Oryzias latipes: one gene and its partners. Each later gene encodes a partner of the first gene's protein in a complex. Links are inferred from orthologs where the notes say so. Each region holds a gene or a part of one and is shown in the gene's direction. Other genes may lie near its edges. The genes, in order: nup58, nup93 and nup54.

What was found.
Region 2: nup58 (region 1) and nup93 share a complex: the UniProt entries of both Homo sapiens proteins name them as parts of the p62 complex. The link is inferred for Oryzias latipes from reciprocal best matches to the Homo sapiens genes NUP58 and NUP93.
Region 3: the proteins of nup58 (region 1) and nup54 are in contact, whole or in part, in a crystal structure (PDB 4JO7), measured with the Homo sapiens proteins. The link is inferred for Oryzias latipes from reciprocal best matches to the Homo sapiens genes NUP58 and NUP54. Residues at the interface, in NP_054808.1 of Homo sapiens: Pro342, Tyr345, Phe346, Leu349, Val350, Phe353, Gln356, Leu357, Tyr360, Gln363, Ile364, Leu367, Leu371, Gln374, Ser378, Ile392, Tyr393, Phe396, Leu399, Ala400, Leu403, Ile406, His407, Val410, Lys414, Tyr417, Tyr420, Arg421; in NP_059122.2 of Homo sapiens: Tyr453, Leu459, Glu462, His466, Leu467, Gln469, Gln470, Gln471, Gly473, Leu474, His476, Leu477, Ile478, Ile480, Ile481, Asp484, Leu485, Ile488, Lys489, Leu490, Val491.

The regions. Positions count from the first base shown.
Region 1 is NC_019878.2:13,571,143-13,575,227, reverse strand, and holds the start of nup58 (nucleoporin p58/p45), read left to right. Parts: upstream 1-1,281; 5' UTR 1,282-1,628; coding exon 1,629-1,711; intron 1,712-2,523; coding exon 2,524-2,684; intron 2,685-2,808; coding exon 2,809-2,841; intron 2,842-2,921; coding exon 2,922-3,194; intron 3,195-3,290; coding exon 3,291-3,459; intron 3,460-3,622; coding exon 3,623-3,688; intron 3,689-3,775; coding exon 3,776-3,950; intron 3,951-4,085. Other genes in the region: mtmr6 (myotubularin-related protein 6), read right to left, coding at 532-555. UniProt on the Homo sapiens protein: Component of the nuclear pore complex, a complex required for the trafficking across the nuclear membrane.
Region 2 is NC_019864.2:28,042,514-28,046,034, forward strand, and holds part of nup93 (nuclear pore complex protein Nup93), read left to right. Parts: intron 1-7; coding exon 8-100; intron 101-354; coding exon 355-494; intron 495-870; coding exon 871-1,003; intron 1,004-2,152; coding exon 2,153-2,310; intron 2,311-2,398; coding exon 2,399-2,564; intron 2,565-3,147; coding exon 3,148-3,241; intron 3,242-3,521. UniProt on the Homo sapiens protein: Plays a role in the nuclear pore complex (NPC) assembly and/or maintenance. May anchor nucleoporins, but not NUP153 and TPR, to the NPC. During renal development, regulates podocyte migration and proliferation through SMAD4 signaling.
Region 3 is NC_019870.2:10,484,160-10,488,461, reverse strand, and holds the start of nup54 (nucleoporin p54), read left to right. Parts: upstream 1-1,497; 5' UTR 1,498-1,641; coding exon 1,642-1,684; intron 1,685-1,975; coding exon 1,976-2,080; intron 2,081-2,856; coding exon 2,857-2,937; intron 2,938-3,096; coding exon 3,097-3,132; intron 3,133-3,616; coding exon 3,617-3,703; intron 3,704-4,164; coding exon 4,165-4,302. UniProt on the Homo sapiens protein: Component of the nuclear pore complex, a complex required for the trafficking across the nuclear membrane.

The DNA.
Region 1 (4,085 bases):
TCTGTTTATATATTTTAAAAACTGAGTTGAAGACTAAAGGCTGCTAGGGCTGGTTTTTCCTTTACTACTATCACCAAATCAGCAGATTATGACTTGCTGGCAGCATTTAAATGAATAAGTTTAGCTCTAAGGGTCATTGTTCTCAACGCCTATAATTAAATCATAAATGATTTGATGACTTTTATGAATCCACAATTTCACTTATGCTGCTTCTCCAACGTTAGTGATCGAGTAAAGCGATCAAAATCTTTCATTCAAAATCATTAGAGAACACATAGGAATATAAACTGAACGGGCAAAAAGAAAAATAAACACAAACATACTGATGCTCGATCGTCACGTCACCTCCTTGGGGCTATCATGACACCTGCTAGCCTTTATGCTAGCAGATTGCAAAGCGTGCATTTCGTTCACTTTAGTGAAACGGCGAAATGCAATAACAATACACAACTAAATGTTCACAGTTCAACAAGGCCAAGTTGCTGACTGCATCCCCCCGACATATGCAACTGTTAAGAAAATGTCAGCTACCTTCGGCGTTCGGATATGTTCCATTTCTCCGAGTCGCCAGTCGGGTGTCAGCCTTTTATTAAAAAGGTTCAAAAGCGGCCTAACAGAAACAACGGTGTCATTTATAGCTTAATACATTAAACTGCTGTACTATCTCACTGTTCTTGTTCTTTGCGGTATACGATAAGTGTTTTTTTTTTCATTCCTTCATCCCTCCATCCGCGTAAAGTCACGCATGAATACCAGAACAGGTTTCTTCACTTTTCAAAATAAAAGTCGATAGGTAACGCATCGTTGCCTTATTTTCAAACTCGATTTAAAAAGGAAATGCACCCTGAATAATTGAATATATGTTCCATATATTTTCAGTGGTATGCATCAAGCTGATCATTAACTTTAAATGTTAAGAATTCAAGTCAAACAATGGATGGTCATGCCAAAGTATCATATTTTAGAGAAGTTTAAAGGTGACATCACATGCACATGGAGCAAACAAAACTGACGCAAATGAGCAAATTTTTTAAAGCGTTTTTATAATATATATAAAACAAAAAGGTTGTTTTCAACTTAAAATACTTAAGCGTATTAAGAAATGTGAGGAAACAAAGAGCCATTTCACAGCTAGTCACACAAAATCTCGATTAAAAAAAACCCCAGCAGATTAAATTATATTTTACGTTGAAAGAATTACCGGAACTTACATTTCTTTTCTCGTTAAACGTAAGTCACAGACGTTGAAAAAAATTCAAGGGAAAGATAGGAAATGTAGTTCTGAGAATATTACCCATAATTCATCAGTGTAGGGCAAGAGAAACACCAGGCGGGTAATAGGAAAAGTGATGCCGTGCTATATAGCTTCTTGTCAAACTTGTTTTTAATAATTGCCTTTATTTTATACAGTTAGTCAAAAAACGTGAACGTCAAACTTTTCAGTGTTAGAAGTCAGACATTTAGTCGCTTTTCCCTTGTACGTTTCAAAAACAAGCAAGCTTGTGTGGGTTTGAGTTTCGGACGTCGTTACAAGCTAACAATCGTGTGATGCTGTTCGGCTAAGGTTTACCTAAGTGTATGAAGCCCACGTAGCCTTTTGGTGTTAAATGTGGACGACTTAGGTTAAAATGTCTGGTTTTAACTTCGGTTCGGGGGCTCTTGGCGCGACCAACAACACAGGTGGAGGATTTTCATTCGGAGCGGCAACCAGGTAACAACAATTAAATATACTCGACTCGAGGTAGCTAACGCTAGCATAGCCTTGTCCTGTCAGCTAACGAAAACGTGCTTCCCTCGTAGTTACTGCCTCTGTGCGGCGATTTTGCCGGGTACAGGAGGAACTATTATAGGGGAATTTGTAGCGTCTAAACTAAGATGTTAGCGAAAATGTAGGATGATTTTGATGTTACCTGTCCAACATTACTTACAATCTTTAGCTATGTTTGTAGCTAAGAGATCATCCGAAAAGTAATAACAACAAAGTGTCTATTCACACATCATTTTTAAAACAGCCAGTGCTGAACTTTATATTCTTGACCCCACGGACCCCCAGAAGAAGGTAATGGTTTAGGATAACGGTTACAGTTAGTAAACCGCCAAATGCTTCCTGATTGCGGCCGTTTTCTGTTGCTCACTCACTGCACTCCATGGGGATGGATCAAATGAGGAGAGCACATTTCACACAGAAGGGTGACAACTAATGGGACTTTAACTTTAAATAAGTGCGGCCAACAACAAAATTCAGCCTTGGACGCACATTCAAAACGTGCGGGAAATGCAGCTGTGTGCCTCTTGGCTGCACGTATTATGGTTTAGGCTTTTGTGTAGATTTTTGAAGTGGGTAGATGTTTGACACCCCCCCCCCCTTTTTTTTCTTTTCTTTCTTGAACTATTCATCTTCTTTCATTTCGATGTGTTTTAGGTAAATCTGTTTATGTACGTTATTATATTCGATATTTGTTTTTCTTGCTGGTTTCTTTCAGTGTGTTTGACATCAGACTCTGTGATTACTTCTGTCTGTAGTGCACCTGCCGCTAGTACTAGCGGCTTTTCTTTTGGGACTGTTCTTGGAACGGCAGCTGCAACCCCTGCTTCCACCACCACTACAGCATCCCTTGGTTTAGGAGGAAATCCTTTTGGCCAAAAACCAACCGGAGGATTTTCTTTTAATACACCTACCTCAAGTAAATATATATATATATATGTATATGTTTGAACAAAGTTGAGATTAACATAGAAATGTCTTTTGAAAGAATTGATTACCACTCATGTATTGACCAATCTGTTGTCTTTTTTTTTTTCCTGCAGGTGCTGCTGCACCCGCGACAGGCCTTACATTAGGTGTGCTAGTTTTTCCATCTCATTCTTTTTTAAATCACAGATTTAAATTTTTGATTGATGTTATGTGTGCCTTGTCGCAGGTGGAGCACCAGCTTCTACAGCTGCCACTACTGGTTTCAGTTTAGCCTTTAGCAAGCCTACTGCCTCAGCATCACCATTCTCACTCACCACCAGTACCGCCTCCTCAACTGTTGGAACAGGTTTATCGTTCGGCTCTATCCTAACCTCCACCGCTCCGCAGCAGCCGGCAGCCACAACCTTCTCCCTTGGTCTTGGTGGCTCAACAGCTTCCACAGCAGCCTCAACAGTGCCATCACTTGGAGGGAGTTTGTTCAGCAGTTCTGTGTCTACAGGTGAGACAAAAATCTTGACTAGACTTGTGGTTATGTCCACATAACCATTTAATTTTATCTGTTTACTTTTATCTAACTTGTATCTTTGTGTTCCAGGTTTGGGGCAAACCACTCTTGGAGCAGGTGGTGGGCTAACATTAGGTTCTTTGCTTGGTACCTCAACTGCAGCATCAACTGCCCCAGCTCCAAGTATTGGCCTTGGTGGAGTTGATTTCAGCACTTCCTCAGAGAATAAGAGTGACACGTTATCTGGATCCAGTGAGCAGTATGTTGTTTTGTACTTTAATGTACATTTTTATTTGTGAAACTGAAATGTCTATACTGACCCAATTCTACTTTATTGTAAAATATTTTTTTAAAATATAAGAAAAAGTTTATCTTGCTTTGAACTTCTAAAACACAAAGTATTCTCTTTTTTTTCCCCTCAGGGACAGTAAAGTTTTAAAAGATGAGAATCTGCCCCCAGTTATTTGTCAAGATGTTGAAAACTTTCAGTAAGTGTTTTCACACTTTGCGGCATCATGCATTAACTTCTGGATGTGACTCTGGGCCTTGGATCACCTCGATACTTTCTTTTACAGAAAATTTGTCAAAGAACAGAAACAGGTGCAGGAAGAGATCAGCAGGATGTCCTCAAAAGCAATATCTAAAGTCCAAGATGACATCAAGAACCTCAAACAGCTTCTCTCTGTGAATGCAAGCGGTCTGCAACGCCAAGCTCTGGCCATTGACAAGTTAAAACAGGAAACGGCTCAGGTAAAACCAGCACAAATGTCTGAACACATGTAGTTCAAGTTTCTGTAGAAACGCAAAAGTGTGGGTTCTTTGTAAAATAAGTCCACGTCTAATGATTCAAGGTGGAAAACATAAAAGAAAAATTACATTTGGTAG
Region 2 (3,521 bases), on another chromosome or scaffold:
CCTAAAGATCTACATTTTCAACGAGAAGATAGTGAACGGACACATTCACCCGAATCTGGGAGATTTATGTGCATCGGTGGCAGAAAGCCTTGATGATAAGGTAAGAACAGTAGCCTTTTGTTGCCAAATCTTTGAGTGGAGTAAATATGAAGGTGCATTTTAGTTAAAAATAATAATAATAACAAGTCGGGAAAATTTGTTCTACCTTTTTATAAATAATTAGAAACCATTATCAGTTCAGCACCTGGAGAAGTGATATAAAATGATGGGAAGCCATCTATAAAAAGAAAATAATAGTAAATTGTCTATATAGCCCACCTTGAAGAAATAAATTACATAATTTGTGTTCTCCAGAACGTTTCAGATATGTGGCTGATGGTGAAGCAGATGACGGACGTTCTGCTGGTTCCAGCTAAAGACACCCTGAAGAGTCGAACTTCTGTTGAAATGCAGATGGCTTTTGTTCGTCAAGCACTCAACGTCTTGGAGAACAGGTGTGTGCATTTCTTATATTGGACAACAATTACTTCCACGACGACACTGACGTCATTTGATTGTGTGATTAGAAAGAGAAATGCCAAACAGGAAGTCATGCGGACGTTTTAATGCAGAATAGATCAGAAAAAGCTCAACTTTTTAAAAAAAATCATCAAAAACAAGACTTTCCCAGTTTTTAGGGTTATGATGTTTTTTATTTGAGGATAAAGAGGTAACCCCAGAAAAATATTTTATTAGAAAAGATGAATTGATCTGAGGGTCAGCTATTTTAGTTTAGTAATTTATCTAAATGTTCTACTTTTATGGTAAAAAAGAACAAACCAGCCAGTGTCAGAAGTTCCACATGCGATCACGTCTTCATCCTCTTTGCAGCTACAAGAACTACACCATGGTGACCGTCTTCGGGAACCTCCATCAGGCCCAACTGGGAGGGGTGCCTGGAACGTACCAATTGGTCCGCAGTTTTCTGAACATCAAACTGCCCGGACCCTTACCTGGCATGCAGGTATCAGTCCTACAGTATATCAGTTAGAATGAAGAGTTAATGTGAGGAAACGTGTATGGGGTCAAGCCAGGGTCAGCTTGATGAAGTGAACGAAAAACCAGAAAAGAAAACAAAAAGTAGGATTGGAACTGTTTTACACTTCAATCGGAGATCCTTAAAAAGCCTTTAAAGGTGTTGAATTTAATTTAAATTAAATAAGGACTTATAAAGCAATAAATTGTTTAAATTTCTGTCAAATGGGATTTACATTTTTTCTTTGTCTTAAACGCAAGCATTTCCAGGACGCACTGTGTCGAAAGTTGGTAAACGGTTGTAAATCACTTAACCTCCTAGCTAAATAGCTCAAGCTCTTCAGTGCGGGAAAATTCAAACAAACAGAAATAATGGCTTGAAAATAGGGACTTTTCATGCACAGTTTGTCAAAAGACATGCGGCTGTTTGCTTCATCCTTTTGTTTCTTTGTTTCCTAATTTTGATTTTACGTTTCCTTAAATTGACCTTCCGTTAATCAGTAGTCACTTTGCGAAAAAACACATTTTAAATTTGACAAAAATACTGAAAATACAGGGGGGAGTTGGCATGTTTGAAATTTATTTATATAATACTGAAAACTTGAATAAAATGCTAAATACCTACAACTTTTAAAGGAAAAAATGTTTATTTATTGCAGCAGCTGTTTTGTATTTTCATTTTTTTCTCCCTTTTTTTTCATTTCTCAATTTACAGTTTCAAATCAGACTTTTTGGAGTTTCCACTCATTTTTGTGGAGCTTTCAGCCCATTGGCTATCGGGACACGATTGACCTCAGTTCACAGGTTTTAAGCAAAGAGGGAGAGAAATGCTAAACACTGGCAAAAAACACCCCAAAATTATAGACACTAAACAACAGCTGTTGCAAATACTTTCTTTTTCACCTGAAAACAGTTTTAGGTTTATACTTTTTTAATTCAAGTTTTTAGTCATTTAAAAAAACTTTTTTTCTTTCAAGTTGACAATGTGTACTTTCAAGTTTTATACTGCTTCAAATGTCTTTAAGCTGATGCTGATCTGACCCCATAATCGTGGCCCCGTAGCCTCACTGCCTGAAGTCAATAGCAGGTCATTCTTCATGCTAGGTTTCCTTTTAATGGTTCTATTCTGGTGCATCAGGACGGTGAAGTGGAGGGTCACCCTGTGTGGGCGGTGATCTACTACTGTCTGCGCTGCGGCGATCTGAACGCAGCCATGCAGGTGGTGAACAGAGTGCAACATCAGCTGGGAGACTTCAAGACCTGGTTTCAGGAGTACATGAACAGCCCGGACAGGCGGTACGTTTCTTTCGTCAATTGCCTGCTTGCATGAGATCGTTCCCTGCATCTTTTGTCTTCAGTCGTCTGACACTTGATCTGTCTTTAGCCTTTGCCCGACCTCGGAGAACAAGCTCCGTCTTCACTACCGCCGGGTGCTGAGGAACAGCGCCGACCCCTACAAGAGGGCCGTCTACTGCTTGATCGGGAAATGCGACATCAACGATAACCACGGAGAGGTGGCGGACAAGACAGAAGATTATCTGTGGCTGAAGGTACGGGTCACCTCATTTACTTGATTCCTTTCTGGGTCATTTGGTATTTCACTGCTGCAATCAGTTTAAACTCACCATCAATTTTGCACAGAATTTGTTTCAATAAAGCTGTTTTCCTAAAAGTAAGCGAAAGTGGATCCTAGATCAATAAAGTTTTAACATTTTAACACATTTTTTACCTGGAAAATACAAGAGATCTCTAAATAGGAAAATCAGTTTGTGAATGTGACGATCAAGTTTTGAATTTTCTGTGTAAAAATCTGCATTATTTTCGAGTAATGGATGATTTTAGATCAAGCCATTCTGCCTTGTAGGTTTCCAACTTTGTTTTATAACACAAGTGCTAGAAAACAAGTCAAATGTACTTAAAATCTGGATTAAAAGCCTGAAGTAACTGTAGATTTTTAACCAAAATTATTCTTTTGAACATGTTTGGCATTAATCTAAGGAGGATACATTTATCCTCTGCTTTTCACAATGAAACTGTCTGAGGAACGGACCCCAGCTGACGCAAACGAATGGTCGAGCTGCTTAATGAACGTGTTATAATTAATGATTAAATAATGAATGTGAATGTGTGCAGTTGAACCAGGTGTGCTTCGATGACGACGGCAGCAGCTCTCCTCAGGACCGACTCACCCTGCCACAGTTACAGAAGCAGCTCCTGGAAGATTATGGTACACAACAACTGCCGCACACATAATCTCTTAGGTTATTTCATTTACTAACGTGAAAGTTTTTTGTTTTCTTGGAAGAAGGAGATGATGCACAAATGCATGTATGAGTACATGCATGCACTGCAAAAGGAGGGAACCTAAAAAGAGGAAAAAAACACTCGAAAGAAATCACCAGAAAGTTGTAAAATGATCTAGAAACACAGGAGTTTCACACAATCATTGAAAAAGGGAAAATTAAGCGAAGAATGCTAACTGTTAGAATGACTAAAATTAAATATTA
Region 3 (4,302 bases), on another chromosome or scaffold:
AATTTTGTTGGGTGATTCATTCATTTGTGATCTCTAAAATCTAGAAGCAGTCTTGGCATTCATTTGAGTGTGCAAGCTATGCATGATGAGGATGAATGTCAAACAAAACTATGTATATTTAGATACTGTCCTATTTTTTTCTAAAGAAAAAATACGTTTGGCGTATTTCTGTAAATGTTAATGTAGAGATGCTAAAGTGAAGTTTGAGTCTAACGCTTAGTGTAGTTTATCTAAAGCTCCAAATAAGACATGATGTGTGTCCTTAACATGCTTCCACTAACTGATATAAATAATGCAGAACATGTTTTTTTTTTAATAAACATGAACCAGTGTTACTGCTTTACTTGATTTTTCTGATGAAACTTTTTAGCTTCCGTCCAGATGCCAAGAAAAAAAGAACATGTGACCGAAGTATTTTTTTTTTGTATAGCCTCCATGGTCAAAGTGTCTCTATGTGCCATATCTTGTATTCCTCAAATAAAAAGCTGCTCAGTTTATTCTGTGCAGGCTCCAATACTGGTTTTAGCACTTCATCTGTGATTTAGATTCTTTCATACTATGTAATAATCCATGTGTATATATCAGGCTGTTGAGATTTTTCTCCTTTTGAGTTTTTTTGTGTTATTATCTTTTCATGCAAACTAAAATTCATTATGTACAATAATTAAACTGAGGGCTAAACAAATCCACACGTTTTTATAATGTAGTTGATTTCGATTAACGAGAACAAGCGAATAAATTGGTAGCTTCCGTCTCATATGTTACAAGACAGTGTTATGCAATGTCTGTAGTTGTTTTTGAAGGGAATAAATTATTTTGTTACATTGATAAAACCAAAACAGATCATCCTCACATGCTTACGACTGGATTTCTTTGTAATGCCACATTTCAATCAACATTTTCATCTTGGAAATTATTGCTGCAAATGTAACCATTGAGTATCCTGCCTGTTCACCTGTTTTTGAATGTTACTTTTGATCTGCACACAGAAATAAAAAGTAGCTTAAGTGGATGTGTACTTGTTTTTTGTCTTTTTGTTTTGGTCATATTTAGTAAATATTTTTTCAACCCTGCCATTTTCATAATAATGAATTTATTTTTTATTTGTCATTTTAAATATAATTAGAAAAAGACATGTTTTATAGTGAATTAGGAGGGAAGAGGAAATGTTGTGTATTCTGTGTTTTTCCAAATAAACATCAGGAAAACTATGAGCCTGTATTAGACATAAGGTCTATATTCTAGTATATTGAAATCTATTCTTCCTTTGGAAGGGATCCAGTTACAAATTTTACAAATATTCCCTGTTAAAATAGTTTTTATTGTAATATATACTGTCAGATGTGCATTTCACAAGCTCCATTACATTTGTCTGCACTTGTTGAGAATTGTTTTCAATCAATTTGTTTTTTGTTATTGATTAATTTAGTTTTGTGGCCTAACCCTGAGCAGTACTGAGCTCCTTTGGAGCTTCTTGCCGTTGCGGGTCATGGTCAGCAGGTGGCGGTACGGAGCTTTTTTGACGCTCGCAAGCCGTTGCGGCTCCCGGTCACCAGGTGGTAGGACTGAGCTCCTTTGGATCCTACTCGCTCACTGTTATTTCTGAAGAAGAAGAAGAAGAACGCTCCCAAAGCAGTCAACATGGCGTTCAGTTTTGGCGGTGCCACGAGCAACACAGCACCAAGTATGTCTGTTGTTTGTGAAGTTTTATCATATTTATTTAGTTAGGAGTAAATATATATTTATCGAAGCTATGCTGTCATGTTTTTTGTGTGTTTATGTCAGTTATATATATGCTGTGCTAGCGGATCACAGCAACTGCCGTTAAGCTACAGTTACGGTCAATTGCGAAAACTGGCTTTTATTTTTTTACGCAATTAAAAGCTTTTGACAATACTTAAAATAGCACGGTTTTGTTGAGCTATGTGTACTTAGCTGCCGTTAACAGCGCTCTGTATCATGTGTCATTGCAAAGGTACGTCCGGGTTTTCATTTGGTTCCTTTGGTGCCAAGACAACAGCGTCCACATTTGGGTTTAACCCGACAGCCATCACGACCACCGCCTCGTCCGGGTTTGGCAGTAAGTCTGCGTCTTCAATTCATTTAGATGCTGTGGAAAATGTAATATTCGGGGGCTTTCTAACCCATTCCTGCTCCTTTTATTTGCTAACGAAGAAAAAAAGCACATGACCAGTTAGATTTATTTTTCATAACTGCTCTGTTGTTAACCTGCAGAGTCTTAAGTCTTAAATTTTTATAACAGATGAATATTTTATTATTAAACAGCATAATCATAATTAAAAGACTACTTGGTAACGCGTTTACAATAGATCAACAGGTGATCAGTGGGGCTTGAACTGAAATTCCTTTTAGCCTGGTGGTTGTGGGAAACTGAATTCTCTACTTGCTTGATCCATTGGAGAGAATGACTGTTTAATCCACTGAAAGATGGACTAAATTCAGGTCTAAAATATCTTAAAACAAACCAGAAGGAACTCTGATCATGATGATGTACTTATTTGTAGTAGATTGAAAACCAAAATAACAAAATCTCAGTGCAGTGGAATAAAATTACAGTATGTACAATTTAAAGAAAAGAAAAGAAAACTGAGGCCAAACAAAACCCTACATTTTTATAATCTTGCTGTTTCCAATTTATGAAACAAGTTATGAAATAGATCCAGATGAATATTTTATCAAATAATAAACATGCTTGTGGGTTAGTTGCCCTAAATAGGGCTAGTAAACTATATTTGATCATTCATTTGATTGTTTAATTTTACACTGTTTTTTATATCTTATTTATTTTGAGGGCAGGTTTCATATCTTTGATGAGCTGCTTGATTTGTTTCATAGCTCTTACAGCTCCTGGTTTTGGGGCAGCCACCACCACCACCGCACCAGCCACAGGATTCGGCTTTGGCTCCACCAACACTGGTAAGATGCGGCACAGAAAGAGCTCGTGTGTTGCTTCTCAAGCTTATTTTTATTACAAATTCCTCCTCTTCTTCTAAATGTATGCCAGGCTTGGCTTAATTTCTTGTAACCCCTCCGTGTCACTCTCTGTTTCTTGCTGCCTGCCTTCCCCGGCTGCAGGATTTGGGGGGCTCGGAGCCGGAGGCAGTACGGCTGGTGGGTTTAGTTTTGGGGGGTTTGGTTTAAATGCCAACCCAGCTGCAGTGAGCTTTAATGTGGGGTGCTTTGGTACAGCAACCACCACTGGCTCTGTTTTCAATTTTGGTAATAGCCTGGCTAGCACAGGTAGATGACTTTTGTGATTCAGTTCATTGTGTGTCTGTTAAAAGAAAAAAACACATCTTCATTCATTTGTCCACTTTCCCCCCACATTTCACTTGATGCTTGATTGTGTGCTGTTCACTTGGTTTACTGTAGTTCCACTTGCATAACATTTGTGCAATTATAAGCTGTTCATCCCATATGGTTTCCATTTGACTGTTAGTTTCCAGAGCAATGCTGTATTGATGTCTCGATTTGTTTTCTTTAAAAATTGTGATGTTGTTTTTGTGTTCATTTATGGTTCTATTCTTTCATTTTTGCTTCTTCTTAAGGGTCACCTCCTTGTATTACATTTATTTGTATTTTCTTCACCTCCCAGGCGCTTTTGGAGGCTTTGGGGCAACAACTACAACTGCTGCTGCACCGGGATCCTCTTTTAGTTTTGTCAACCCCTCCAACACAACAGGTCAGCACCAAGTTCCAAGAAAGAGATCAACTGTGCTCGTCACACTAAAGATGAGCAGGAATCAGTCACCCTTTGGAGAAAAAAAATGGCCATTTTAGTTACTAAATTCTGCATAGATGTTCCACCTTTGTTTAGTTTAAACTACTAGTTATGTCAAATGCTTTTTATTACAAAATATAAATGCTTTAGCGATGGAAATGTAGTAAATAAATCAATGTTTTATCATATTTGCTTGAATCAAAAATGAAATCAAATTGGAAGATTGTTTACAATTTTATGTAGGGGTAGGGGTTGTTTTTAAATCCGTTTTCATGTTGGACCTTCTTGCCACCAGGGGTCACTCTCCCTCTAAAGAAATCACCGTTCTTTTCTGCTGCACTTCTTCTGCACAACGTTTAATGGAAAAACCTAAACGCTGCATGCTTTCAACCGTCTTGTGTGGCCAAACTGTTGTGTTGTAGGAAGCTTGTTTGGGAACACACAGAACAAAGGGTTTGGGTTCCCAACCGGGCTTGGAGCTGGAACCGCAACCGGAACATCGGGGTTTGGAACTGGGTTAGGCACAGCTGGCCTGGGCGGATTTGGAGGTTTTAATATTC